4 linked regions of the Drosophila melanogaster genome follow. The protein of the gene in region 2 purifies or fractionates together with the protein of the main gene of each other region. This does not show direct contact. Each region holds a gene or a part of one and is shown on either strand. Other genes may lie near its edges.

The links.
Region 1: the proteins of Glyp (region 2) and Pglym78 purify together in Drosophila melanogaster (affinity purification with mass spectrometry, with the first as the bait; one large-scale study listed by BioGRID). This does not show direct contact.
Region 3: the proteins of Glyp (region 2) and CG5506 purify together in Drosophila melanogaster (affinity purification with mass spectrometry, with the first as the bait; one large-scale study listed by BioGRID). This does not show direct contact.
Region 4: the proteins of Glyp (region 2) and CG32473 purify together in Drosophila melanogaster (affinity purification with mass spectrometry, with the first as the bait; one large-scale study listed by BioGRID). This does not show direct contact.

Annotation. Positions count from the first base shown.
Region 1 is NT_033777.3:29,145,998-29,151,314, reverse strand, and holds Pglym78 (phosphoglyceromutase 78), read right to left. Parts: upstream 3,068-5,317; 5' UTR 2,866-3,067; coding exon 2,763-2,865; intron 2,307-2,762; coding exon 1,809-2,306; intron 1,747-1,808; coding exon 1,580-1,746; 3' UTR 1,414-1,579; downstream 1-1,413. Other genes in the region: eIF2D (eukaryotic translation initiation factor 2D), read left to right, coding at 1-25, 84-1,375; CG11882 (uncharacterized protein), read left to right, coding at 3,261-3,364, 3,435-4,122; CG14511 (uncharacterized protein), read left to right, coding at 4,514-5,317.
Region 2 is NT_033779.5:2,128,373-2,137,434, reverse strand, and holds Glyp (glycogen phosphorylase), read right to left. Parts: upstream 6,623-9,062; 5' UTR 6,424-6,622; coding exon 6,181-6,423; intron 2,997-6,180; coding exon 2,468-2,996; intron 2,398-2,467; coding exon 791-2,397; intron 705-790; coding exon 549-704; 3' UTR 139-548; downstream 1-138. Other genes in the region: CG4259 (uncharacterized protein), read left to right, coding at 8,228-8,302, 8,365-9,062.
Region 3 is NT_037436.4:17,882,609-17,887,056, forward strand, and holds CG5506 (uncharacterized protein), read right to left. Parts: upstream 1,769-4,448; 5' UTR 1,738-1,768; coding exon 1,671-1,737; intron 1,604-1,670; coding exon 1,128-1,603; 3' UTR 1,041-1,127; downstream 1-1,040. Other genes in the region: CG7408 (uncharacterized protein), read left to right, coding at 1-5; CG16775 (uncharacterized protein), read right to left, coding at 3,458-4,033.
Region 4 is NT_033777.3:13,301,921-13,308,393, forward strand, and holds the start of CG32473 (uncharacterized protein), read left to right. Parts: upstream 1-2,843; 5' UTR 2,844-3,150; intron 3,151-6,473. Other genes in the region: CG8774 (uncharacterized protein), read left to right, coding at 1-311; CG43208 (uncharacterized protein), read left to right, coding at 1,545-1,572, 1,638-1,831.

The sequences.
Region 1 (5,317 bases), on a different chromosome or scaffold from region 2:
GGGCACTTCAAAAAGGGACAGTTGAGTGGGTATCTGCTTGGGATTCCCCAGGTAACGAGTATTGATCTCATTGTCTTTTTCAGTGGCCGTAAACCTCACAAACAACAAATCTGCGGTGGGCGTGGGCCAGTTGGCTCGCTCCAGCGATGAACTGTACATGTGCGGAGGTCACGGTGTGGCCATCAAGATGCTCCACCTCTTTGGGGACAAGCTCTGGTCGCATGAGCCCAGTCTGGTGCAGCAAATCCCGCTGGTCAAGACAAAGGCCTTGTCTGGCGAGGATTTCCCTGCTCTTGGGTCTGAGACGGAAAGGAGAAAGACCGCCAGCCCAGCTACTCCCGCTCCTGTGACCTTCGCTACGGTGGCCCAAACCGAGGAACTGGAAACGGAAACTGCTGCTCTGACCTTGGAAAGCCAGGAAGCTCCCGAGTCCGACGAAGAAGCCGTGGAGGAAGCCTCACCAGAACTTATACTCAAGAATGCCTTCCTCTCCGCCTTGAAAAACCATGGAAAGAAGCTGCCCCTGCCTCTGCTGACGAGCAATTTCTACAGACTCTATGTGGTCACGGAGGCCACGGAGCAAATCGACCTGAAGAAGACGCGCTACAAAAAGCTCTCCAACTTTCTGGCCGAGATGGTGGACCAAGGATTCATTGTGGTGCGGGAGGAGAGCAAGGGAGTGGATAAAATCACATCTGTGGACCTGGAGCACCCCGAAGTGGTGAACTTTATAACCGATGTCAAGGCAAGCGAAGCTAATGGAGCGGCGTCCGAGACGCCCCTGTTCCACTCCGAGCTGAAGGAGATGTACATAGTGACCGATGTTACGGCGGCCTTCTTCACCAAGCTGAATTACAAGCGCGGCGAGGGAATCCCGGCGGGTCAGATCAAGAAGATTGTGCGGGAGTACGTGAGCAAACATGGTCTCCTCCATCCGCTGACCAAGCTGGTGCGCCCCGACGACACTCTGATCGAGCTGTATGGTAACAGAGAGGTTTCGCTAAGCGAGATGTGCTCCCTCATCACCAGCAAGATGGAGCACTCCTACCAGATGTGCAGCGGCAAAGATACGAGCGGGAAGCCCCTCATCCAGATGTCCCTGGCCACGCGATCGGGCAACAAGAAGGTGACGCTGGTCAGCAACATCGAGGCGTACGGCATCATCCTGGCCGAGTTCATCAAGCTGTGCAAGCAGGGAGCCGCCGCCAGCACCAGTGTGGTGAAACTGCCGCACCAAAAGCACGAGCAGCTGCAAATCCAGGGCAACCAGGTGCGATTTGTGCACACGCTGCTCACGGAAACGTACAAGGTGCCGCCCAAGTGCATCCTGGGCCTGGAATTGGCCAAGGACGGCAAGAAGAATAAGAAGAAGTGAGCCGGACAATAAATGAAGCCTCCTCCGCCTGTCCTCTTGAGTGTAATAATAAATTATTTATTAACTGTAGTGGGGATGAACCAATTACTGCTACGCGAACAACAACAACGAATGGGATTGGCTACATCTTGAACAGAAGCGTAATCAGAATGCTCTGACTTGTGCCGTATTTGAGTGGATTCTCATGAGGTGTGGCCTGCGTGCTTACTTGGCCTTGCCCTGGGCGGCCACAGCCTCGATGGCCTTCTTCACGGTCTCCTCGTCGCCGAGGAACTGCATGGACACCACCGGCTTGAAGTTCTCGTCCAGCTCGTAGACGAACGGAATGCCCGTGGGCAGATTTAGGGCCATGATGGCGTCCTCAGAAAGGTCTGGATTGGACAAGGATATGGTAAAAAGATGATATGATATATGTTATGTCTCCCATGCTCACTGTCTAAATGCTTGACGATGCCACGGAGGCTGTTGCCGTGGGCAGCGATCAGGATGCGCTTGCCCTCCTTCATCTGGGGAATGATGACGTCGTTCCAGTAGGGCAGTGTGCGTTCGATGGTCAGCTTGAGGGACTCGAACTGGGGGAACTCCTCGGGCTTGGGACCCTCGGCGTAGCGGGGATCCTTGACGATGTTCTCGTAGTACGGATGGCCCGGCTCCATCGGTGGTGGCGGGGTGTCGAAGCTGCGACGCCAGATCTGCACCTGGGCCTCGCCGTACTTGGCGGCGGTCTCGGCCTTGTTCAGGCCAGTGAGTCCACCGTAGTGGCGCTCGTTCAGGCGCCAAGTCTTCTGGATGGGGATCTCCTTGTGGCCACTGGCCTTCAGGATGCTGGCCAGCGTCACCTGGGCGCGGGTCAGCACCGAGGTGTGGGCCACATCGAACTCCAGGCCGGCATCCTTGACGGCCTTGCCGGCGGCTAGGGCCTCCTCCTGACCTGTTTGGGCAAATGTTTAGCGAACATTAAGTATACGCCGTGTTGGGTAACGAACGTAAGCCAATTTAATCTAATTGAAAGGCATGCGTTTAATTTAATTTGATTACTAGGGTTAAAAAAAGGCGATAACCTATCAAATTATGCTCATAAGCATAATCTGAACTTTAGAAACATATGAGATGGCAAATTTTTGACTTTAAAGTGTAACAAACTAGAATTTTGATGCTTCTGAAAATTGCACTGGAAAGCTTTTGTTTGTAGAGACCTATTTTTATCACAGAAAAGTTTGAATGAGATAATGTTGCACTAGGTCAATGAAGATTAATTTGGGTAAATGAAAAGGAATACTATTGTGAAACTGATCAAAGCAAAGGATCATCGATTGGAAACTAGATGTACATCAGATTTTTAATCCCACATATGAGGTTTAAATTTCAAATTGATGTAATCACTCACCCTTTTCGCTGAGGTTGGCGTCGTACCAGCCGCAGAACTGATTCTTCTGGTTCCACTCGGACTCGCCGTGGCGCACCATCACGATCTTGTACTTGCCGCCCATTTTAGCTGCGTTGATCACTCTGCGGATAATTGTGTACTCGTTCTTAAGCTGCCGCCTTGCTGCGACTGCAATATGTGGGAATTCTGCTGAAGTTTGACCTACAAGGGAGCCGTCCAAGGTCGCAGCTGTCAGGCCGCGATATTGCCGTTCTGTTGGAAAAACGTAGTGCGCAGATGCGGTGCCTTCTCTGATTGGACTCCGGAGTATGGTCTTATTGGAATAGCGCGTCAAGCTACCTTCAAATGTCCAATTAGTTTGCGCTGTGCAACAGGTTGGCATCCCCCGCGCAGATGTTATCGCTCGCGTTTGTCATCACTATATTCGTGTTTTGGTTTTTAAATTTGGCTGTTTTTAAATTTTGCTCCCATAAATTCCAACTTTTTGTCACTTAAAGCATGTGCGAAAAGGTCACCGCGCGCTGCACTTGGCCCCAGCTGTCGGGCAACGGGCTGGACCAACTGGTGGCCACCCGCTTGTCCGACGAAGACGTCTTTGTGAAGTGAGACAAAGGATTCCACGCCCCGAAACTGGTTTTTATCAAGTAATTTTGAAACCTCCTTTGTCCGCAGGCCCGACTTGGACGACGTGATCGACGAGAATCGCGCCGTGCTGTTTTCCATGCAGTCGGCGGATCCGCCGCCGCCTTGTGAGCTGCGCTTCCAGATCCCGAACCGCTTCAAAATCGCCGCGCTCACCCTGATTTGCAGCGCTCCCAAGGTGGAGCTGTTCATTGGACCCTTGCAGGAGTACTGCGAGACCATCTACGGCACTTGCGTCGACGATGAGGACCCAGAGGTTGCGGTGCGACCCTATCGCTATGACATGGAAATCGACCGATCCGGGATAAATGACATAAACCTGAAGATGCTCACCTCGGCCAGCGAGATCTGCGTTTACGGAGCCCTGCTCCAGGTGGCGCCGAATCCCAACGGCATAACCACCCAGTTGCCCAGGCCAATGGATGCGCAGCGAATCCAAGAGCTGCTGCAAAGGGGTGGCACGAGTCCCTTGAAGAAGGAGGAGCAGGCCGAAAAGTTCGAGCAGTTCATGAGCCTGATGAAGGGCTATTCCCCGCAGGCGAAGGACCAAACCCAAGAGACTGCACCGCCTTCCACCGATGTTGCAATCCTCAAGGAGCACATCGACATGAGATTTGAGAAGCTGACGCTGTTAGTGTCTAAGAGACTGGACAACTTCGAGGCCCAGCAGACGGAAAAGTTAAACAAAATTATTGCCTTGCTGGAAAAGGAAAAATAAGTAATATACCATTAATTTGCTAATCTGTAATTTCTTTCTTAGCATTGTCATCATTGTATTTTGTAATTGTTGTAAAAGACTGTTGGTGCGAATATTTCGAATGTGATTAGGCAACATATTTAAGTTTGGTTTTGAATGTAATGTACATTAAATAAAATATTCTTCTCTTAAAATCATAAATTTTTTCTTTTTCGCTTGGAATATTTGAATTTCAACCACTTTCGATAGACCAACATCAGCTGTGCCCGAACCGAACTTTATCGATAACCACCTGTTGCATTTGTTTACGTTTTGTATGGCCGAAGAGAAAGTAAGTTGGCTTAAAAGCTCGTCATGGCCCAGATCGTAGGTTAAAGTTGGTGGGAATCGTCTACTTTCGTTGCGCGAGTTCATGAATTTATCCATCCGCGCTATTTCGGCCATCTGCGGCGTTTTCTTGGGCTGCTGCAGTGGCGTCGTCTTCTTGGAGCTCCTGGTTAAACTGGATCCCGGCGCTGGAAACCTTATAACTGGCGCCCAGTTTGCATTTATTGCCCTCGAGGGCTTCATCTTCACCTCGAAGTTTGGCCTGGCCCAGAGAGTGATCAGCCTGCGCGACTATGCGCTCCTCGTGGCCATGTTTTTCCTGACCAGCGTATGCAACAACTACGTGTTCAAGTTCAAAGTTCCAATGACACTGCACATGATCATACGCGGCGGTTCGCTGATCTCCAACATGTGCCTGTGCACGTTGATCCTGAAGAGGAGTTACCGGTTGAGTCAGTACATATCGGTGCTCATGATCAGCGTGGGCATTTTCGTCTGCACATATTTCTCCAGTCCGGATTTGGTGGGTAAGATGGAGAATTTGGATAGTGGCGCCGAGGCGGATACGTTCTGGTGGCTGTTGGGCGTGGCACTCTTGGTGCTGGCTCTATTTGTTTCCTCCTACATGGGAATTACACAGGAGTTGCTGTATCGACGTCATGGCAAGTGCGCCAGGGAAGCGTTGTATTACACCCACCTGTTGCCGCTGCCCGCCTTCCTGCTCATGCATGACGACATACGGACGCACTGGCTTTTGGCGTTCACGGGCGAGTCCTACCAGTTGCCCCTCCTGGGCGTGGCAGTGCCCCTAATCCTGCTATACTTATTGGGCAACGTGCTTGCGCAGCATTTGTGCATCAGCTCCGTTTACACCCTGACCACGGAGTGC
Region 2 (9,062 bases):
TATAAAAAGTTCATTCCCCAAATAGATGTTCAGATTGTCTTTAAAACAAATAATAAATTGTTCATTTGCAATGAGATTAAGATGTAAACCCTTCGTGTTATTTATTTATCACCCAAGCGACAGTGAAACACCAGCTTTCTATTTCGAATCAAATTTTATTCAATTTAAATTATTTTTACATTTAACAGTTGAACTTGAGGTTTAATCTCGATTTAAAACACGCATATCAGATATCTAAACAAGCTTGCCACTAACGTTTTTTACAACTCTTTCCATTATTTTAAATAGACTTTTCTTTTACTTTGAAAGTGTTCCTGAGGTCTTTTTAGGTAGGTACCGTTGTTGATTCGATTCGATTCGATTCCACAGTGATGAGAGAACTAGGCGAATTGTTTATCTTGATTTTTATTAAATAAAATATTAACAATTCGGTGCTGTGGCCCGTGTTCACTTCATTTGTTTTAGTTGTTGCTTTTGGCGCCTAAACTTGAACTTTGACTTTAGCAAAAGTAAAGCACATAAATAATAAAATAATATCAAAAATTGATTTAGTTCTGTGGCTGATCCTCCGGCGCTGGCAGCTTCTCCCAGGTGGGCTCCACTCCCCAAATCTCGCGGGCGTACTCGGCGATGGTGCGATCCGACGAGAATTTGCCGCTGGACGCAATGTTGTTGATGGACATCTCCAGCCACTTGGCTTGGTTCTGCAAATTAGGCAAAAGTATCGTGGTTTAAATAATGATCTTTGCTACTTATTTTTCTAATACATAGTTAAGCTATCGAATCTCACCTGGTAGGTCTTGGAGACCAGATCCTGGGCCTTGATGTACGCATCGTAGTCGGCCAGCAAGTAGTAGTGGTCGTACTTAAGCAGAATGTCGGCAATGTTCTTGAACTCGTTGGGATTGCCGGGGCTGAAGAATCCGCCCTGGATTTGGTCAATCACCTGCTTGACCTCGGGGTTGGCGTTGTAGTAGTCGTAGGCATTGTAGCCCTTCTTCTTGAGCGCCTCCACCTCGTCGACGGTCATGCCGAAGATAAAGATGTTGTCCAGACCCATCTCCTCGGCCATCTCAACGTTGGCACCGTCCAGGGTGCCGATGGTGAGGGCGCCGTTAAGCTGGAACTTCATGTTGCCGGTACCAGAGGCCTCTGTGCCGGCGGTCGAGATCTGCTCGGACAGATCGGCGGCGGGCATAATCTTCTCGGCCAGGGTGACACGGTAGTTCTCCAGGAAGATAACCTTGAGCTTATCGCCCACAATGGGATCGTTGTTCACAACGTTGCCCACGGCGCAGATGAGCTTGATGATCTGCTTGGCCACATAGTAGCCCGGAGCAGCCTTGCCTCCGATCATGATTGTCCTCGGGGTGAAGTTGGCTGTGGGATCCTTCTTGATCCTGTTGTACAGGGTGATGATGTGCAGGCAGTTCAGCAGCTGGCGCTTGTACTCGTGAATACGTTTCACCTGAATGTCGAACATGGAAGAGGGGTTGATCTTAACGCCGTAGTCCTTCTCCAGAATGGCGGCCAGCTTCAGCTTGTTCTCCTGCTTGACGCGGGCTACATTGCGCTGGAAGTTGGGGTCCTTTGCCCACTTCTTCAGAGCAACCAGTTGGTCCAGATGCACTGGCCACTCGTCGCCGATCTTCTCGGCGATCAGGTCGGAGAGTCCGGGATTGCAGAGCAGCAACCAACGACGCGGGGTAATACCGTTCGTCTTGTTCTGGAACTTCTGGGGCTCCATTTCGTAGAAGTCATGGAACAGCGAGTCCTTTAGGATCTGCGAGTGGATGGCGGCCACACCGTTGACGGCGTGGGAGCCGACGATGGACAGATGAGCCATGTTGATGCGCTTCTCGCCATCCTCCTCCACCATCGACATGCGGCGCATGCGGTCCAAATCGTCGGGGAACTTCTTCTTCACATTCTCCATGTGCAGGAAGTTGATGTGATAGATGATTTGCAGATGGCGGGGCAGGATCGACTCCAGCAGGGAGACGGGCCAGCGCTCCAGGGCCTCTGGGAGCACGGTGTGGTTGGTGTACGCGCAACTCCTGACGGTGATGTCCCATGCCTTCTCCCAGGTCAGATGCTCCTCATCGACCAGGATGCGCATCAGCTCAGGGATGGCCAGCGATGGATGGGTATCGTTCAGCTGAATGGCCACCTTGTCGGGGAAGTGATCGAAGGTGTTGCGGACCGCCTCCCGGGATCCGAACTTCGAGGCCTTGTAGCGGCGGATGATATCCTGCAGCGTGGCGGCGCACATGAAGTATTCCTGCTTCAGACGCAGCTCCTTGCCCTCGAAGAAGTTGTCGTTGGGGTACAGGACACGTGAGATGTTCTCAGCCAGATTGCGGTCCAGCACGGCCTGGATGTAGTCACCATCGTTGACTGGATAGGTGAAGATAGCCATAGGTTAGTTCTTGCCTTATCAAGGGGACCTCTCCTTATAGATACTTACAGAACTTGAGGTTGAAGTCGATGGGCGACTTGGCGGACCACAGACGCAGCGTGTTTACGTGGTTGTTGTTGTATCCGGGAATGGGGTTGTCGTAGGGCATGGCAAACACCCTTTGGGTGTCCACCCACTTCTTGCCCTCGGGCGTGTCGATCACACGGCCGTAGAAGTTGACCGGCAGCATGAACTCCGGACGAGCCTTCTCCCAGGGATTGCCATAACGCAGCCAATCATCGGGCTCCTCCACCTGCTCGCCGTTCTTGATCTTCTGGGCGAAGATACCGTACTCATAACGGATGCCATAGCCATAGGCGGCCAGACCCAGAGTGGCCATCGAGTCGAGGAAACAGGCGGCCAAACGACCCAGACCACCATTGCCCAGACCGGCGTCCTCCTCCATCTCCTCCAGGTTCTCGATATCCAGACCCAACTGGTACATGGCCTCCTCGCACTCGCTCTGGATTCCCAGGTTGATCATGGTGTTGGTCAGTGAGCGACCCATGTAGTACTCCAGCGACAGATAGTAGACGCGCTAAAAAAATACAGGGGTCGTTATTAGATCTATTGTATCCATGATTAATTAGCAACTATATTGGAAGATCGAAATGTCATAAGATTATTTCATGAGTTGGATTCAGATTTCGTGCATTTCCGCAGTGCATGGGTCACTCACACCAGGTTCAGCTGTACAGTGCATACAATAACTATAATACAACGAAAGCCTGATAAGAGGGGCGCCGACTGCGGCTGAAAGACCTAGTTATGTTTGGCCAGAAGGTCAACCAGTTTCCAACTTTTACGGTTCCCAACGGAATACTCGCTTATCAGCGAAAAATCGCACGGTAATTTCAGGGCAACCCAACTGGAAACTATAAATAGAGGAAGGCATTCACTATCACCGGTTCGATTCAGTGCGAATCTATCGATCGATGTTACGAGGGCATTAATTGGGTTTATAGCAACGCTATCAAGCGATTGCAGGCTGCACTTTGCATGCTGGGCAAACATCATGGCTAAGCATGAATCTATACAGCTTGGAATGGCGATTATTATCACCAGCCAATGCTGGGCTAATCATGGATCGATCACGGATCAGCAATCACCAATCAGCATTGACGACAACATCGCCCACAGTGTCGCCAGTCAGTAGCTAATGGCTCCCAGGGTATGCTAATCCTATCCCTTATCAGTCAACCTACCTATGTAATCTATGCCCTAAAACGCATACCTATCGCACATGATGCTTTCAGATGTCTGATGCTATGCGATCCGGGAAAAAAACTATAGCTAATTAGTTCGGAATGTTTGGAGAGCTTGTTTTTGTGTGCATATTTGTAGGTGAAAGGGGTTAAGGCGCCTATATAGAATCGGGGACTTTCGATTAGGAATATTTTGCAGTCCATTTAGCAGATAAGATATACAGAATTAGGTGAACATGGAGTATGAACTGATTCGGGCAATATGTGCTGGGCAATGGAAATGCTGTGATAAAACACATTATTGTTTATATCTATATAGGTATACCAAAATATGAACTATAAAAGTAGGTATTTTCTTAGTTATGAAATATGAGGTGCACTCAGTAAATACTGAGTTGGAAAAAATCCAAATATTAAAACCAATTCTAAGCATGATCTTCTTTGCTGCAGAAAAAAAAAGAAGCTAATAACCTATTTAGCTTATCTAATCGAAGATAAGAGCTTCACAACAAAACGTGAGTAATCTTCCAGATCCATAAAAAGCTTTTGGAGTCATTCAACTGCCGGCGCTAATGTTTTCCACAGCAGTTTGTTGTGTAGGGTCTTTGATATTCGTTCTGGCCAGTTCTACAGACGAATTAGATGCCAGACATATGTTTTTTGCGGTTTTGATAAAGAGCGCCTCACCAACAAACGACCAGTGTTTGTTTGCCTTTGTTTATTGGTTTTTTTTCCCTATATGCAATAAATAAATGACAGATGTGCATAGGAAGTTGGAAATGCAATAGGTAGTGGCGCCCTGGCATTGAATTTTTACATGATCGGTGATAGCTAAACGCTTTTAATTTGGTGATAAGTGGAACAGTATTTTCGAACTGCTTGTGGAAAACTACAGGGAAATAAACTCTTTTGTGTGACTATTCACCCCGCTGAACTTTCTTCAATTTGCATAAATTGGTTTAGAGACCGATGGACGCCAAGTTGTCTTCAATTAACTCTAAGTACCAATCCACGCACAACAACAGCTGTTTAAGTATCCATAAGATACAATCGTCGTCAGTTCATATATTTCTATTTAGATGGTTGCGTGAGCTAATTGCATGTGGGGGGACAACTAAACAAAATCGGGCCTATAAAAGTTCCACAACCTGAAAGAACTTATATATACATACGTACATATATATATATTTGAGAACGAACAAAAACCGAAATGGTAGCCAAAATAAAAATGAGAGAGGAAAAATGGGGGAAATTTTCCTTGATATTTTTGTCAGTTGGTTGTTGTTAATAACCTTTGATTGACCTTGAAAAAATGTGTGCCGACGCCGTGACGGTATCCACAATTTAGTTGAATTGAAAATATTTATCACCCAAAAGTGTATATAGCTCGAACTTCTAGTCGCCAAAATTGCTCGAGTCAATGGAAAATTAATAGATACATTTTGGTGGGCTTGAAATTGAAAGTGATTTAAGCTGACATTCAGCAAGGACAAAAATGTTTAGCAGCCGATGCTGACAAATTTGCAAATGGAAAGCTCACGCTTTGGGCACGTGTTTGGATACATGTACATATGTATGTATATACATATATTGTGTATCTGATGGATGTGGCTAAAAGGGGGCACTTATTATGCACCCTTGCCCTACTTAAACTGCATCGCCATGGCCCCAGGAAAACTTATTACTAAAAACTCATCAATATGTTTGGATAGAGCTACTTCTATAGTAGCTCGGCGACAGCTGCTAAATGCAGAGCTATTTTTAAGCTTTTGTTGCTTCGTCAGCTGGCGGGGAAAATTGTCAAGTGGGCGCGTAAAAAGGGGGTGGCTGATAAATTCGCCGGCTTTTTGCAGCACCTCTGCAATTTGTTGCAGTGAAAGTGTCACACCTTTTTTTGGCGCTACTTCTTTGGCATTGATCCCATTGCAGTCTTTGCTTTTTGGCAATTTCGCGAATAATTAAATGAAACGAAACAATTATGTAGTAGCAAAACAACGAAAGCGTGGGAAATGCAGTAAAAGCCGAAATTTCAAATAAACAGTGAGCATTCGGAAATTTTTAGAATTTTAGAAAATAAGGATTAAAATAGGATTATGAAATGTTGCATGGAATATTCATTTATAATAATAAAAGACATAGTGGAAATACTTGGGATAAAAGCAAAACTGCTTCAGTTATTTATGAATACGTTTATCGTTTCCCATTTAATTTTTAGTTTTTTTTTTGGCTGAGTGTTCACTGTAAATTCGTTGGCCAAAGCGCATCGGGGAATAAATCAGCAGCGAATAAAAGAGAATGGAGCAGGCCGAAAAAAATGTCGTAATAGCCAAAGAAATTTAGGAAAAAATATTTCAAAGGAAATTATTTCAAAAGTTTTGGTTGCCGCAGGAAGGGATAATCAGGCCTAAGAACTCCAGAGCCCGGATAAAGTTAGGTTAGGTGGTCCGACCACTTCTTTTTGGAAAATTCCACGGACTAAATCAATAAGTGGGTGGCCTGGATGGGCGCGGAACTCACCTTGGGATCCTTCTCGTAGTAGTGCTGCTGCGTGCGAATCCAGCGGCCCACCATGTTGTCCTTGACGGTGTTGGCCAGGGCGAAGTAGTAGTCCCTCAGGGTGGACACATTGCGATCCTTGACCAGGGTGTAGTGCAGGTGGCGATTGAAGTTCTTCTTCACTTCGGTGACATTGCCCACCTCGGCGATCCCGCGCACCGAGATCTGTTTGCGCCGATCGGCGTCGGATTGGGGCTTCGACATGGTGTCCTAGTTATGTATGTCCCTTCTCTGTGGCGGCTCTATATAGTTCTCTGATTCCGTTGCGTGGGTGCGCGTGTGTGTGTGGCGTAGACCCGTTTGCGTGTGCGACAGCGAAGAGGAGACGGAGACTATAGACACAACCCAGACCTGAACCTGAACAGACGACCGTTCGCAGCAAAATCCGGAGCGATTCTCACTTTATACTTTCGGCATACTTTCGGAGATAGCTTTTGCGCCAGAGCTTTTCTCTCAGCGTGCTGCTCCCCTTGTAAACAACTCCCAGCGCACAGTGGGTGCGCTGGGTATCAACTGCTACGAATTATCATCTAGGGGATATAATACAACAATATAGGTTGTTTTTTAACTATACAACTAAATATTAAATTTTCGATTTTTATATTAATCATTTAAGAATGAAAATTTTGTATATTTCAATAACAGATAATAACTTTTATCAGTATATTTTGACCATATCGCCCACTGTGCGTTGCTGATGCAGCGGTTCTTATCTCGCCGGTGCATTTTGCTGTCTCTCTCGCACTTTAGCTATGCTGTATTCCTGCACTGCTCCCTGTGCTCTCGCTCGCTCACTGCCTCTCTCTCACTGGCGCTCTCTTTTTGCCCCAGTCACCTTGTGCGAAGGTCATACATGCGTATTTGTTGTTTATTTTCTGTTTTTGTTTCATCTTGAGGCATTTGTATGCTTTGGAATAGAACGGGTGGCGCCCCCATGAATCGGGTTTGAGCTTTTTGAACCGACGGCTGTCAAATTGAAGCTTTTAACCATCTGTTGAGTGCGGAGAATCGTGGCGGGCTGGATATTGGAGATGCCAACTTGCTAGGAATTCAAACTTTACCAATCTTATGGATACTTTTGTATCTAAGAGATACTTTTAAAATCTGATGCTTTTGTATCTTACAGATATTTTGTGTTTTATATATCTCTTTGGGTACATTCGTATCTTGAGCTTTAAGATTTACGTACTGATATTCTAAAACAAGCGTTTTCAAAAATGTTGTCACAGAATTGATCTATTTAGAAAGCGCACTGAATATATGTGCTCTGCTGTGCCTCACTCGACTTGTGCAACAAATGCTAATCACAGGACAAAGGGCATCTGCAATTCTATCCGAACAATTCAGTTATTCCATTTCTTGTTTATTACTTCCCATAATGGCACTCCCATGTTCAACTACTTGGGAATGCATGCGGAAAAGTCCTTGAAAGGAGGGTAAAGGGGGGGGGTAACATTGCAAAGGACCAAGGCGCCGCTTGTTTCGTGAGCTCACCATTTGTTCGGCTATTTCGTAGCAAATGAAAATGATTAGCACATTTGGCAGGAGGAAAGTGAGAGCAAACCTTTTGGACATCTGCCAAGTGGGCTGCCATCGAAGTGAACGCCATCATTCATAAGCTTGTCTGCTAAAAATTTAAAACTTAATTGGAATCTGCTGCCTCATTCTGCCAACCGTGCGCTTGTTGACTCCTCGCACATATGTATGCGCTATTCAACTAGTTTTTGTTATGTTTTCTTTTCATTTTTTGTATTCAGCTGCGAGTATTATGAAAAAGTTACACTTAGGCGAAAGAAAAGTTCGCTGAGAGAAATTAGACTGCATTTGCTTGGATCGTTGTGAAATAATATAACGAATGCTGCGAATATTTTTTATAATACAAGTGATTTATCTCAAAATACTTTGTGGAATTCTTAAAACGACGCATTTTACTGATAAGCAGAGTGCTGAGTTCGCAGGGTAAGTTCTAAGTACTCGATTTCATTTTGATTCGAACACTCGTTGCGGAATGTCGCTATACTTTGCGTTTCTCACGACACTGATAATCAGCCTTGTGAATAGTCAATACTTTAACTACAATCAGGTTAGTTTATATAATACTTGTACATAGATATAAAAAATACTGAAATGGAAATACGCATGCAGATACGACGTGAAACATATGGCAGTAATCCCAGAGCGACATTTCCCTGGGTGGTTTCTGTGCTCGACCAGAGGGATTGGCTGTTTCGCTATATAGGAGTGGGATCTCTGATTAATCCAAATGTGGTCCTTACTGCCGCTCATATTCTGAATGGAACAACCAAGTATGATCTGGTGGTGCGAGCTGGCGAATGGGATACCTCGACTACGGCTGACCAGCAGCACGTGGATCTCGAGGTGCTGAATATAGTCTCCCATGAACAGTTCAACAGATTCAATGCCGAAAACAACATGGCGTTACTCATTCTGGTATCCGCATTTGAGATGACAGCCAACATTAATTTAATCCCATTGTACCTACAAGAAGCTGGTATTCAAAAAGGATCCTGCTTCTTCAACGGCTGGGGAAAAGTATATTTGAACTCGACGGACTACCCCACCGTTCTCAAGACGGTCCAGGTCGATCTTTTGAGCATGGGTATGTGTAGCTCTCGAAAGCTGCCCATCCAGCAAATCTGTGGGAAAGGTCTGGAAGGCATAGATTGCAGTGGAGACGGTGGGGCTCCTCTGGTTTGTCGGATACTTACATATCCATATAAGTACGCACAGGTGGGCATTGTGAACTGGTTAAGTCAAAAGCCTGTCGAAAATACATTCATCGTCTTTACGAATGTAGCTGGTCTGCTCCCTTGGATTGACTA
Region 3 (4,448 bases), on a different chromosome or scaffold from region 2:
ATTAAATGAAAATTCTTATGTAGGTTAAATATTTAATGATCTTGTTAGCAAAGTTGGCATGTATTCAAAAAATTAATAAAAACTTCGTCTAAGGAAAATAGACAATTTTATATTTTATTATTTAACCAATTGGCTTGTGGCCGTAACTCATAGTAAACCGATAGCTTTTCTGCAACAAATGCGATAATTTATGACTTCAATTCTACCTATCAATAACCATTTCTGAGTACTGTCCAATTTGATCCGGTGTCAAAAGGCCAATCTCCCTTTTTATCTAATCGATTACTTCTGCGAAAACTGATAGTTGCAAAACCCCCTTCAAATTAAATTAAAGCACAGCCAAATAGCTTTCTGCCAATCAAAGTGGCTTACATAGTATTTAACCAAAATAGTTTACGACACTGAAATCAAGGCAAGATCTTTGGTTACAGATTAAATACCATAATCAATCAACTGTTCTATCTATCAAAAAAGACATTATGGACTTACTTTGTTCGTCAAAATGAACTAAGAGTAAAAAAAACGTACGAAAGTTAAAACCTTTAAAATGTATATACATTTTCTTGTCCATAGCAGCATGTAGAACAGAAAATTACGATGAGTTCATAATAAAATATGAATTTAAAAGAAATTTCGAGTTAAGAAATAGTTGTCCTTCCAAAAAGGCATTTTTAAAAAATTACCAATCTCAATTTTCGCTTTAGGCATAAAGTTTTATTTTAATGGCAGTTTTATTTTTATTTTATTTTAATTTTTCTATAAATGTCATGGAATATAAATATGATATAAAAATTGTTGGGGACGAATTAATAATTTTGATGTGAAAGGAGACGTCTTTCTTTGCCAGAAATATGAATGTATTAAGAAATTTGTGAAAAACATCATCTGCCTGAGAATCATATTTTATAAAACTAGTCTGTTTATAAAAATTAAGTGTTTCAAAGTCAATCCATTTACTGAACTATATATGTTAATAAGATTTGATGCATATCAAAAAATTGAATAAGTGCGATTCCGTGAATTACAAAATAAATATAATTACTTGAAATAAATTATGTTTTATTTATTTTTTAAGGGAGCCGGGATATCAAAGGAACTTAATTCAGACAAAGATCTAGTAGTAGAATTTAGTAGTATGTTCCATTGCCTTTAGGCTGGGCCACCAGAACTTCATATTTGTCGAACTTTCGCAGGGCCAAGCTCTCGTGCTTGATGATGCACACCTTCTGGCTGCTAAGGAGCAGGGTGCCGATTAGGATGCCTCCATCGGTCTTAGCACGGCAGCAGAACACCCGCTCATTTTTGACCGTCGTGCCCACGGCAACGGCTCCCTTTTCATAGAATCCATCGAAGCTCCTGACCCACACGTAATTTACATCCCGCTCAGCCACTAGGATGTCGTAGACGAGGAGCTTCGAGGATGTGGTTTCCGTATTGAAGTAAGCAGTACCAGTTTCCGCAACAACTCGAGCCGGCAGGATGCTATTGGAGTACTTAACACGACCAACATAGGTGGTAAATCCGTAGGGATCGAAGCCACCCACAACGGCATTATAGGGAATAACGTAGGACAGGTTACCAGCCTTCCACACGTGCTCGGTATCTGTTCGAAATGGCTATGTTAATTGGATTCAGTTAACCCTCTATATTATATTATTATTGGTTCTCACCATAAGTCGAGGGAACCGCGTAGGCAACTGCAAACAGGGCCAAAACTACACAGACAAGTTTGTACATCTTGACGGACTGCTGGATTCACTTTGAGTGTCTGGCCAGTGACTTAACTGCTTTTATAGTCGTCTTCTTATCTTTCGACTCCAATTACACTTATCGCTATCAAAAGATTGGTATTGATAGCATCTGTTTCGGTGACTAACGCATCGTTGTTTTATTGCACCCTTTCAAAGTAAGAGAAATTTAAAGAAAAAATCCCCCTAAGTCATTTCATAATATTGAGCTATAACTTAGTTGTTAAACATAAAATGATTTAAAATATATTTAATTAGGAACTTTAATATATTTATTTTGTTGTTTGTTCATACAATGAGCAACTAAAAACTTTTGTTTTAAAACCAATATTAGTAAAGAGCATAGCCATCGAAATATCCCTCTCGTTTGAATCAAAAAAAAGTTTGTATGCTCTTCAAGTTGGTCAAAATTAGTCTGATATAAATAAACTAAAAATTATAAGTTTTACTTTAATATATTTTGAATAAAACAATATTAGAGAACAATTTTTTTTAATTTCCCATGACATACAGGTTTTACAAGACGAAAGATCGTGTCATACAATCAACATTTTCCCCTATGGAATATCTTATATCGCACTTCTTTAATATATAATAAAATTTTAAGTTGGTATATATTTCAATTAGCTTAGTGAAATATTCATGTAATTTCCTTTCCTTATATAAAAATCAAAGTTGTCATCTTATCTAACATGATAAATCAATTAAGAACGCAAAAGACTATTTTCTGATAAAGAGTTATAGATTTTATTTGCTTGCATTCAGTATACATACAATGTATTTACAGAGCGAATGGCATGAACGAAGCCACTTGGCGTTGCCTGATCAGTATCTCGTACTTGTATTACTCGTACTCGTATTTGAGAATGCACCCTCTTTTCGAAGGCTACAGCGTTTCTATGAAGACGCCTTCAGCGCAAAGTTAGCCTCGTCCGTGTTGAAGTGGGCCCTAACCAATTCCGGGACCATTCGGGCAGGCAGGACATTATTGAGGACATTATAGTACACACGGCCGACGTAGTTCATGTAGCCAGCACTGCTTCGTCCAGCAGATCCTTCGTCCTGTCGGCAAGGATCTATTTGTCTTCACTGCTATATACTGCTCCCCTGATAAGGGTCACCAAATGAACTAGGACTACGGCCACAATTATCAAGCCCTTGTAGCAGTACATTCTTGAACTGTTGACTAGGAAGATATCTTGAAGTGACTAGAATCTGCAAGTCTGATATCAACTTTCTAGCTTTTATAGTTCCCGAGATTACCATGTTCATACAGACAAACGTACGGACAGTCGGATATGGCTTGAATGACCCGTCTAGTGATCCTGATCGAAACTATATATACTTTGTTGGGTTGAAAAAGCTTCCATCCACTTGTTATATCATTGTCAATCAATCAAAATCAAGTAAATGCGTTTACTCTACGAGTATAATTAAGTAATTAATTTAACAAAGGAATAAATAGTTACAGTTACAAAAAAATTGAAAATAGGAATTCACATAATTTCTTCTTTGGATTTATCAAAAACTTAAACACAGTTATTCTGTTTTTCTACCTCTTTTAAATTAAGAAAAAAGAATAGGAAACTTTGCTTTTATATTAATTATTTTTATTAATTCAAAGTCATTAAATAAATTGAAAGGAATTGTTTTTTTTTAATAAATATTTTGTATTTATATTTTATTCTATTTATTTTGTTGCTCAGCATTTAATGGTGGATATAACCATCAACAAATGGCGAGACGGCAGCTACATGGCGTTCGCGGACAAGGATCTCGTACTTGTCGAACTGCCGGAGCGGAAAGTTGTCGTACTTGACGATGCACATCCGCTTGGAAAGGTACAGAGTGCCGATAAAGATGGATTCATCACAGCGGACACGACAGATGAAGACACGCTCGCTGAGGGCGTTGGTTCCCACAGATACGGCGTTCTTTTCCCGGAAACCATCGAAACTACGGATCCAATGGTAGCCGACAGTGGCGTTGGACACCAGAACCTCGTAGGTGGTGGCTTGGTTGCCCAAGGTGTCGGTGTTGTAGGTGGCCTTTCCCAGCTCCGGTACCACTCGGGCTGGCAGAATGTTACTGCTGTATGTGACACGACCCACGTAGGTGTAGTAACCATCGGGATCGACGCCACCGAGAATCGCTTCCTCTGGAAGGTCCAGGGTCTTGTCCAGGTACACCCACTTGTCCTCATAGCTGTAGACTCCTCCGTGGATTTGAGCCACCATCTGGACGAGGACTACGGCCACAATTGCAGAACTCTTGGCTGAGAACATGATTCGATTGTTGAGAGGCGGGGTGTTGTGGACATTTCGAGCTGCTAACATCTTTTATAGGTCTTTCTTATCTATAGATTGATAGTAAATCATTCTTCGAGGAGTAACTTTGTGATTAGATTGTTAGTAACTTTTTTAGATCGGTGATTAACAATTAAAGTTCTGTGGTCAGTTACAGGGAAGATCTTTAAACTTTTGCAAAACCCCCGCTAAAAAATTTCCCCTAAAAATAGACCGAATTCACTAGTGATCCTGACCAAAGACTCTTATAGGGCTGAAAATGATTTACTCAACCAGTTAAATTATTTTAAACAAATGTGGTGGTACACCGTCTTACTCAATGAGTAACTTCCTAAATTGTGTACATTAAATTGTGTATTCAAGGAAAACAGCTTTTCAGTAGCTTGCTTTAGAT
Region 4 (6,473 bases), on a different chromosome or scaffold from region 2:
TGGGTGAACCGGTGGTCTGGGAATTCTACCGCGAACAGTGGCCCCAACTCACCACCCGTTTTGGCCTGAACAACCGCAACTTTGGACGACTTATCGCCCAGATTACGGCCAACTTTGCCAGCTCCGTGAAACTGGAGGAGGTTCAGCACTTCTTCTCCAAGTACCCCGAATCGGGAGCTGGAGCTAACTCCCGGTTGGAGGCCGTGGAAACCATCAAGTACAACATCGAATGGCTATCCAGAAACGAAGCTGACATCACCGACTGGCTAAGTGGAACGGCCTCGCCGCTGACCAAGAAAAACCAATTGTAAAATTGTATATTGTATATAAACTGGCCATTTAGCCAATAATTAGAGTTGCATAAGCGAAAATTCCGTTCGAGTTCAATAAAATGAAATTTCAAAATCAAACCATAAATACAACCCCCATATTTTCATTCATTTTATCCGAGGCAAGTGGGGATTTCTATAGCTTCTAGGAAATAATTGGAGATAGGGTCTTTGAGTATATGGTCAATGCGGAATCATGACCATGCGTAATTATCCTGAGTAATTAGAGTGTCCAGTCATAATAGTCGATATATGGCCTTGTTCGAATCGTAAAAGTAATGGTCTAGCATAAAACGATTTTATCTGGACACGAAGCTATATAGTATATAGTCTAGATATCGGTCAGCAATCTGATCAGGTTTATCAAGTCCAAATTGTGGGGTCAGATTCGCAACTTGCATTCAGTTTCCAATTTGGCTTCCAGCCTAGTGGAAGCAGTCGAGTAATTTTCATCGAAAAAAGAATATCCCTAAAAATGGTTGCCTGTGAGTCTTCTATATAGAGTAGCATATCCCGAAGGAACAGTAACTAATGTGAACTCATTTTAGGGCTGACGGTTAAGTCAGTGGCCATCTTTTTGGGCCTGGCCTCTACTGCTTTTTGTGTGGCCACGATTGTGCTGGCCGTTCAGAATGCGGACCTGGAGAACGATCTGCAGGATGCCCTCGATAAGATCGACGCATTGACGGTGGACACCACGTCCACGTCCTCCACCTCTACCAGCACTTCCACGACCACCACCACTGCAAATCCCAATGGGCCCACGGATGACACCGAGCCTGGCTCTACCACCACACCTGGCGTAGGAGGTGACACAACCCCCAGTGCAGGAACATCTCCGGGTGGTGAAACTTCGCCATCATCCAGTACAGGAAGCACCACCAATCCCATCTATCCGACATTGCCGACAGGACTTCCTGATCCTGAAAAGGTGAGTGAAGTGCAAGAAAAATATATTTCACGGCTATAAAAGATGTTAGTTCAGAAAAACCCTCACACAGAGTGGGAAAATTTTCAGCGATTAGACGTAAAGTCGGCATGGCTACTAATTTCGAATTTATTAAGTTCCAACTTAGTCTTACTGGTCATTTCAAGTGCTTATCGCTTGGCTAGCGTTTTTTTTCCTCTTTTTTATCATAATACAAAACGGGTCTAATTTCTTGGGTCTTTTAAGTTAGTTTAATTGCGGCTAACGCAGTGTTAGGAGCCACAAAAATGGGACACATGCAGGACAGGATTAAGGGTATTTATTGATAACGAAGGAAGTTTTGGGAAAACACCGATACCGATTCATGTATATTTTCATAGACTTGATCACCGCTGAGCGCGTGGCTATATTCTTTGGTCTATTATCGACCTGCTTGATCGTTGCCCTTGTCATTGTGGCCGTCCACAGGGATAATTTATTGCTGCAGTTGGACGAAGCCAAAAGGATGTTGGATGTTCTGGAGGAATACATTCAAAGCCACTTGTTGTCCACCATTTCGGAAAGAAATTCATAAGAATTAGGGTGCTGGCAAACATTCAAAAAGATGGCTTTCAAATCCATATCTATTTCCAAAAATGGTTAAAGCAATAAAGCAATAAAGGCAAACGGATAAGAAACCAAAATACGCTTAGGTTTCAATATTTGTGTAGTAGAGCTATTGTTGTTTGATATCTGAAATTGCACCTAATAAATTAGGACCCTAATTTCACAACATTTAGCCACTATATCCAGCTAAGGCATATTTGTTGCAACGACGTCCACTTGGTTTACGACCTGACCACAACAGTGCTATTTCCTATCGCCACCTTATCAACGCATTGCTCACTTAATAGGGCCAAAGCCCATTATCGATGGCGTGGATATTAAATAAACTTTACGACCCCGCAGATCGAATGGCGCCTGCCCACGGAACTGACGCCCATCAAGTACAAGGTGTACTACCATCCCGACTTGACGACCGGCGCCTGTGAGGGAACCGTGTCCATTCAGTTCCAGCTGAACGCGATCACCAACCTGATCGTCCTGCACGCCAAGGAGCTCAATGTGCACAGCATCAGCATCCTGAACATGATGGCGCGCATACGCGTGGCCATCGATAGCATCAACTTGGATGAGTCCCGGGAGCTGCTCCTGATCACGCTAAGAGAGGTCCTCAGTATGAACAAGGCCTACACACTGTCCGCAAGTTTCGACTGCGATCTGAGCAGTCTGGTGGGCAGCTACATCAGCAACTACACGAATGCCGATGGAGTAGATAGGTGAGTAATTTTAAGGTATATCTTGCGATGACAAACATTTTGTTAGCATGTCTAGACTAAGATGTCAGGTATCTTTATTATATCGTACTATTTATGTAGCTAAGATCGTATCTAGTGCACTGTCCGCAACTAGTACGATTGCAAGCACACTTGTGAATACCCCCAATGCATTGGAGATCATCGCATGTTGGGGCCATAAAAAAGCCGGTCTCAGCTGATGAGAGAGCTTTCCGGAGAAGCTCGAGTGCCGTGACAACTTTGGAGCCCGCTTCAGTCGGAAGTTCAGAGCAGAGCGCGACGGTCGCGATAGAAAAGAGCGGACTCCGTCTGCAAATACGATCTCAATTACGATTCTCGCGATTCCCCTTTCTTTTCGCTTTTCTTCGTTTTCTCGGATTTCTCGAGTGCGCGCCTACGATTTGAATCAAGAATGATAGCTGTCCGGCAATTGCCGTTATCAAATTAGCCGAGTGAATATTCCTCGGACCCGGCAAAGTTACAATTAATGCCATTCGTAGACAAAAGAAAAACGAAAAACGAGACACGAAAAGCTGTGATTTCAACTGTAAATCAAGTAAAAGGCATAGTGCGAAATGTGACGGGAATAATAGATAATAAGTGGCCCATATCAATCAGATACCGTTGAGTCCGCTCCAAAAGCTCCACGCCAATACAAAATGACCATTGTCACCGCATCGCCGTTATGCGATCAAAATTCTAGTTTTAATTGGGCGCATTGAGGCGATCACTATTTTTAATATTCGCTGAAATGTGACCACCGGATTCTATGCCAACTTTGACTTTCAACGGGTATTCGTTTCGATAAACAACGGGCCATCGCAGGCTGGCCAAGAGAACTCCACATGGCTGAATCAAACAGGTTGCACCGCTCCCTTCCCCTCCCCTCCTTCTTTCCCACACCCCTTTGGGACCGCTGCAAACAGGCTTGGAGCCAAATGCATACATAGTTCACTTGCCGCGCAAGTTCTTGGCCTTAAATCGGCCACAATCGATGCACAGCAAAAAAAAAAAGAAAAGAATTATATCTATCGTAGCCCATTATCAGATTATATTGGTATGTCTCTTATCAACGAGAAGTAGATTCTGTTCGTAGTTGCATTCTTTGACATTTATCAACAATTGTTACCAATCTGATTATAAGAAAAATTAATATCACAGTTTTTTTAATTATCAATATTATCAATATTATAAATTGTATATATAAATACAATTACGGCAATTAGACATTTTACTTCTTCATTAGATCTTCAATTTGTATCTTCGATTTTGTTGGTAATCATTTGCTTATGATTTTTTTTGCTGTGTATCTGTGGTTGTTGGCCAGCAAATGCGTCGTGTTTACATCTTCAATGCGGCAAATACTCAATGGCCGCTGAGAAAATACTTTCTTCAAAAAGCCGCAACAAAATGGGTCGACATCATTGACTGCCAAGAAACTTGTTGTCATAGTAGCTTCCCCTACCCGTTTCTCGCTGTGTTTCCTGGGTTTGTTTTGTTCTTGAAAGTTCAGTCAAAGCTCGGTGGTCAAACCTTTTTTTCATTTTCATTGACACTGATTTCTTTTTCGTTCTTCTTGGGCGAAATAGAAATTTTTTTATTTCCAAACGGTGGGAAAGAACCTTCGAAAGTGGAGGGCTTTTTAATTGGATTTTTGTGCTAATAATGTAAATTAACGGCTGTTGTTGGCAGAATTGATAAGGCACTTGACACCTTTGGCGGTGTGTAAATTATACAATTTAACACCTTGAAGTTCATTGATCTACATGCTGAAATATAAACAATTTCATTGATCTTCTATTTATAAAATATTTATTTATTTATATTTCAATGAACTGTTGATAAAGCTTACATAAATATTTGTAAATATCGCATGGTTTCGAGTTTCCTATTTTCCAATATTGAAGTTATTTATAAAGTGTATATCATGAAATCTATAGCATTAAATTAAGCAAGTCAAGGCCGAAGTTTCCTCTCCGATTTTATAGTTTATTTGTGTTGAAAGTGATGCAACCCATTGATTAATAGTAAATTTATTTCGCATTCCGTTAACCCCAAACATGCAAATTGTGGCAATCATTTCTTTGTCAACGCATCTTCCTTTTATTTATTGTTTTTATTTGAATTTTCCCTTTGTGTATATCATAAATTGCAGGCACGTATAGTCGACCATTGTCAATTTCATCCCACCGCGGGTGTTATGGGTAGTATTTCTTCCATGTCTGGGATTCACTTTGAGTTTTTGGGTGTTTCTGGGGCGCACTTGTCACGTATAACTTTGTGTTTATTGTGAAAGTTATGACCTTAAAAAGCCCGAAGAACGTGTTTCAAATGTAAGCTTTCAGTTTCGAATTCCAAAATTTAAAAGCATCTCTGCTCTGAAGTAAACAAACATATAATGGAGTGACAAACAGGGATATTTATCTGAATGATCTGAATCTGAATTTATCTGACAACACAAATTGTTACTGTTTAGCATAAGAAATGATCCACGTTTCTTATATCAAATAATGTTTAGATTAATTCCTTTTTAAGCTGCTGTATTGCGCATTAGTTTTTTTTTTCTGTGTGCTTTCGACTCGATCTACAAAGTAGTGAAATTTATGCGACTCATTAGCGAAGTATGAGAACTGTTATGTTATGGCTTGTGCCCCCGCGATCATCGCTTCATCGGCTTCAGAATGCCGAGATATTCACATCTGTGCAATGGGGCGTGTCCGATTGGCTGTTGGAAGTCGGAGATATATGAACTCATATGGTACATATGTATATACCAACCATTGTCTGCAGATCTTCTGGTTGCTTTTTTTCCGGCGCTCATAAGGTGGTAGTCATGCAATTTTGTTGACTCCGATGTGCGGTGGCTTTGTGCGATGTGCGCTCCCTAATTGAGTCAGCATTACATCATCCGCGGAAGATGCAAGGGGGCGTATACGTATTATACCATGTGTATCAGAGACAATTGCCTGCCGGCTGGTGAAAATTAGCATATTCTGCAGCCTCGAATTCCTCAATTCGCACAATTCCGAGTGAATGGTGATCCGTGTGATACTTCAGCTGCATCGCGTATTGTTCTTTTTTTTTTGGCTTAATACTCCTATATCCTGACATCATTTTCGAAAAGCAAGCCGTGGATCATGACTCTGCGGGCAACTCAATTCATTTCCAATGCTAATAATGGCATCTGTAATTTCTTGCCATCGCACAACCTGCGGAGATTTGTGCAACAGACTCCGTAAATTGACAGGCAAAAAGCCAACAACCTTTTGTGATCCGTCAATCAATCGTACACAGCGAGAAAAACTATACACTATGATTAAAAAAATGCTATTAAGTAATCATCATTGACTATCTAGAGAGACATAAAATTGAGATGTTATAAAAGTATTGTATGCTACTGAATTTCTTAGCGTTATTGTGTAGAGACGCCTCCATAGAAAGTCGTATCATTGCAACAAACCCGGGGATTCGAATTGCAACTCTTGCGGTTAGCCAGCCCAGTTCCAACACCAACTTTATAAACCAAACTAAAAAATGGCTTCGAGTATTTGTAGTAACAATTTCACAAAATGACCAACTTCATTACGTGACCGTTGGAGGGGACTGGGGGACAAAAATAACAGGCATCTGATTGATCTGCAGCGAGTCGAAATTGAGGCAATCTCCACCTGGAGATAGAGTGAAATGTGACGGAAGCTGTGCTGCCCCGCCTCCTTCACCTGGCACCTCCATAAAAGCCGGGTCCATAAGCCCGGGTTTGTTTATAAGCAGCTCGGAGATTATTAAAACAGAAAAAACTGATGATGGCAGCGGAGACGCATGTAATTCAGTACGCGACTTTTATGATGCTCTCGAATTACCCCGCCGATGACACAATAG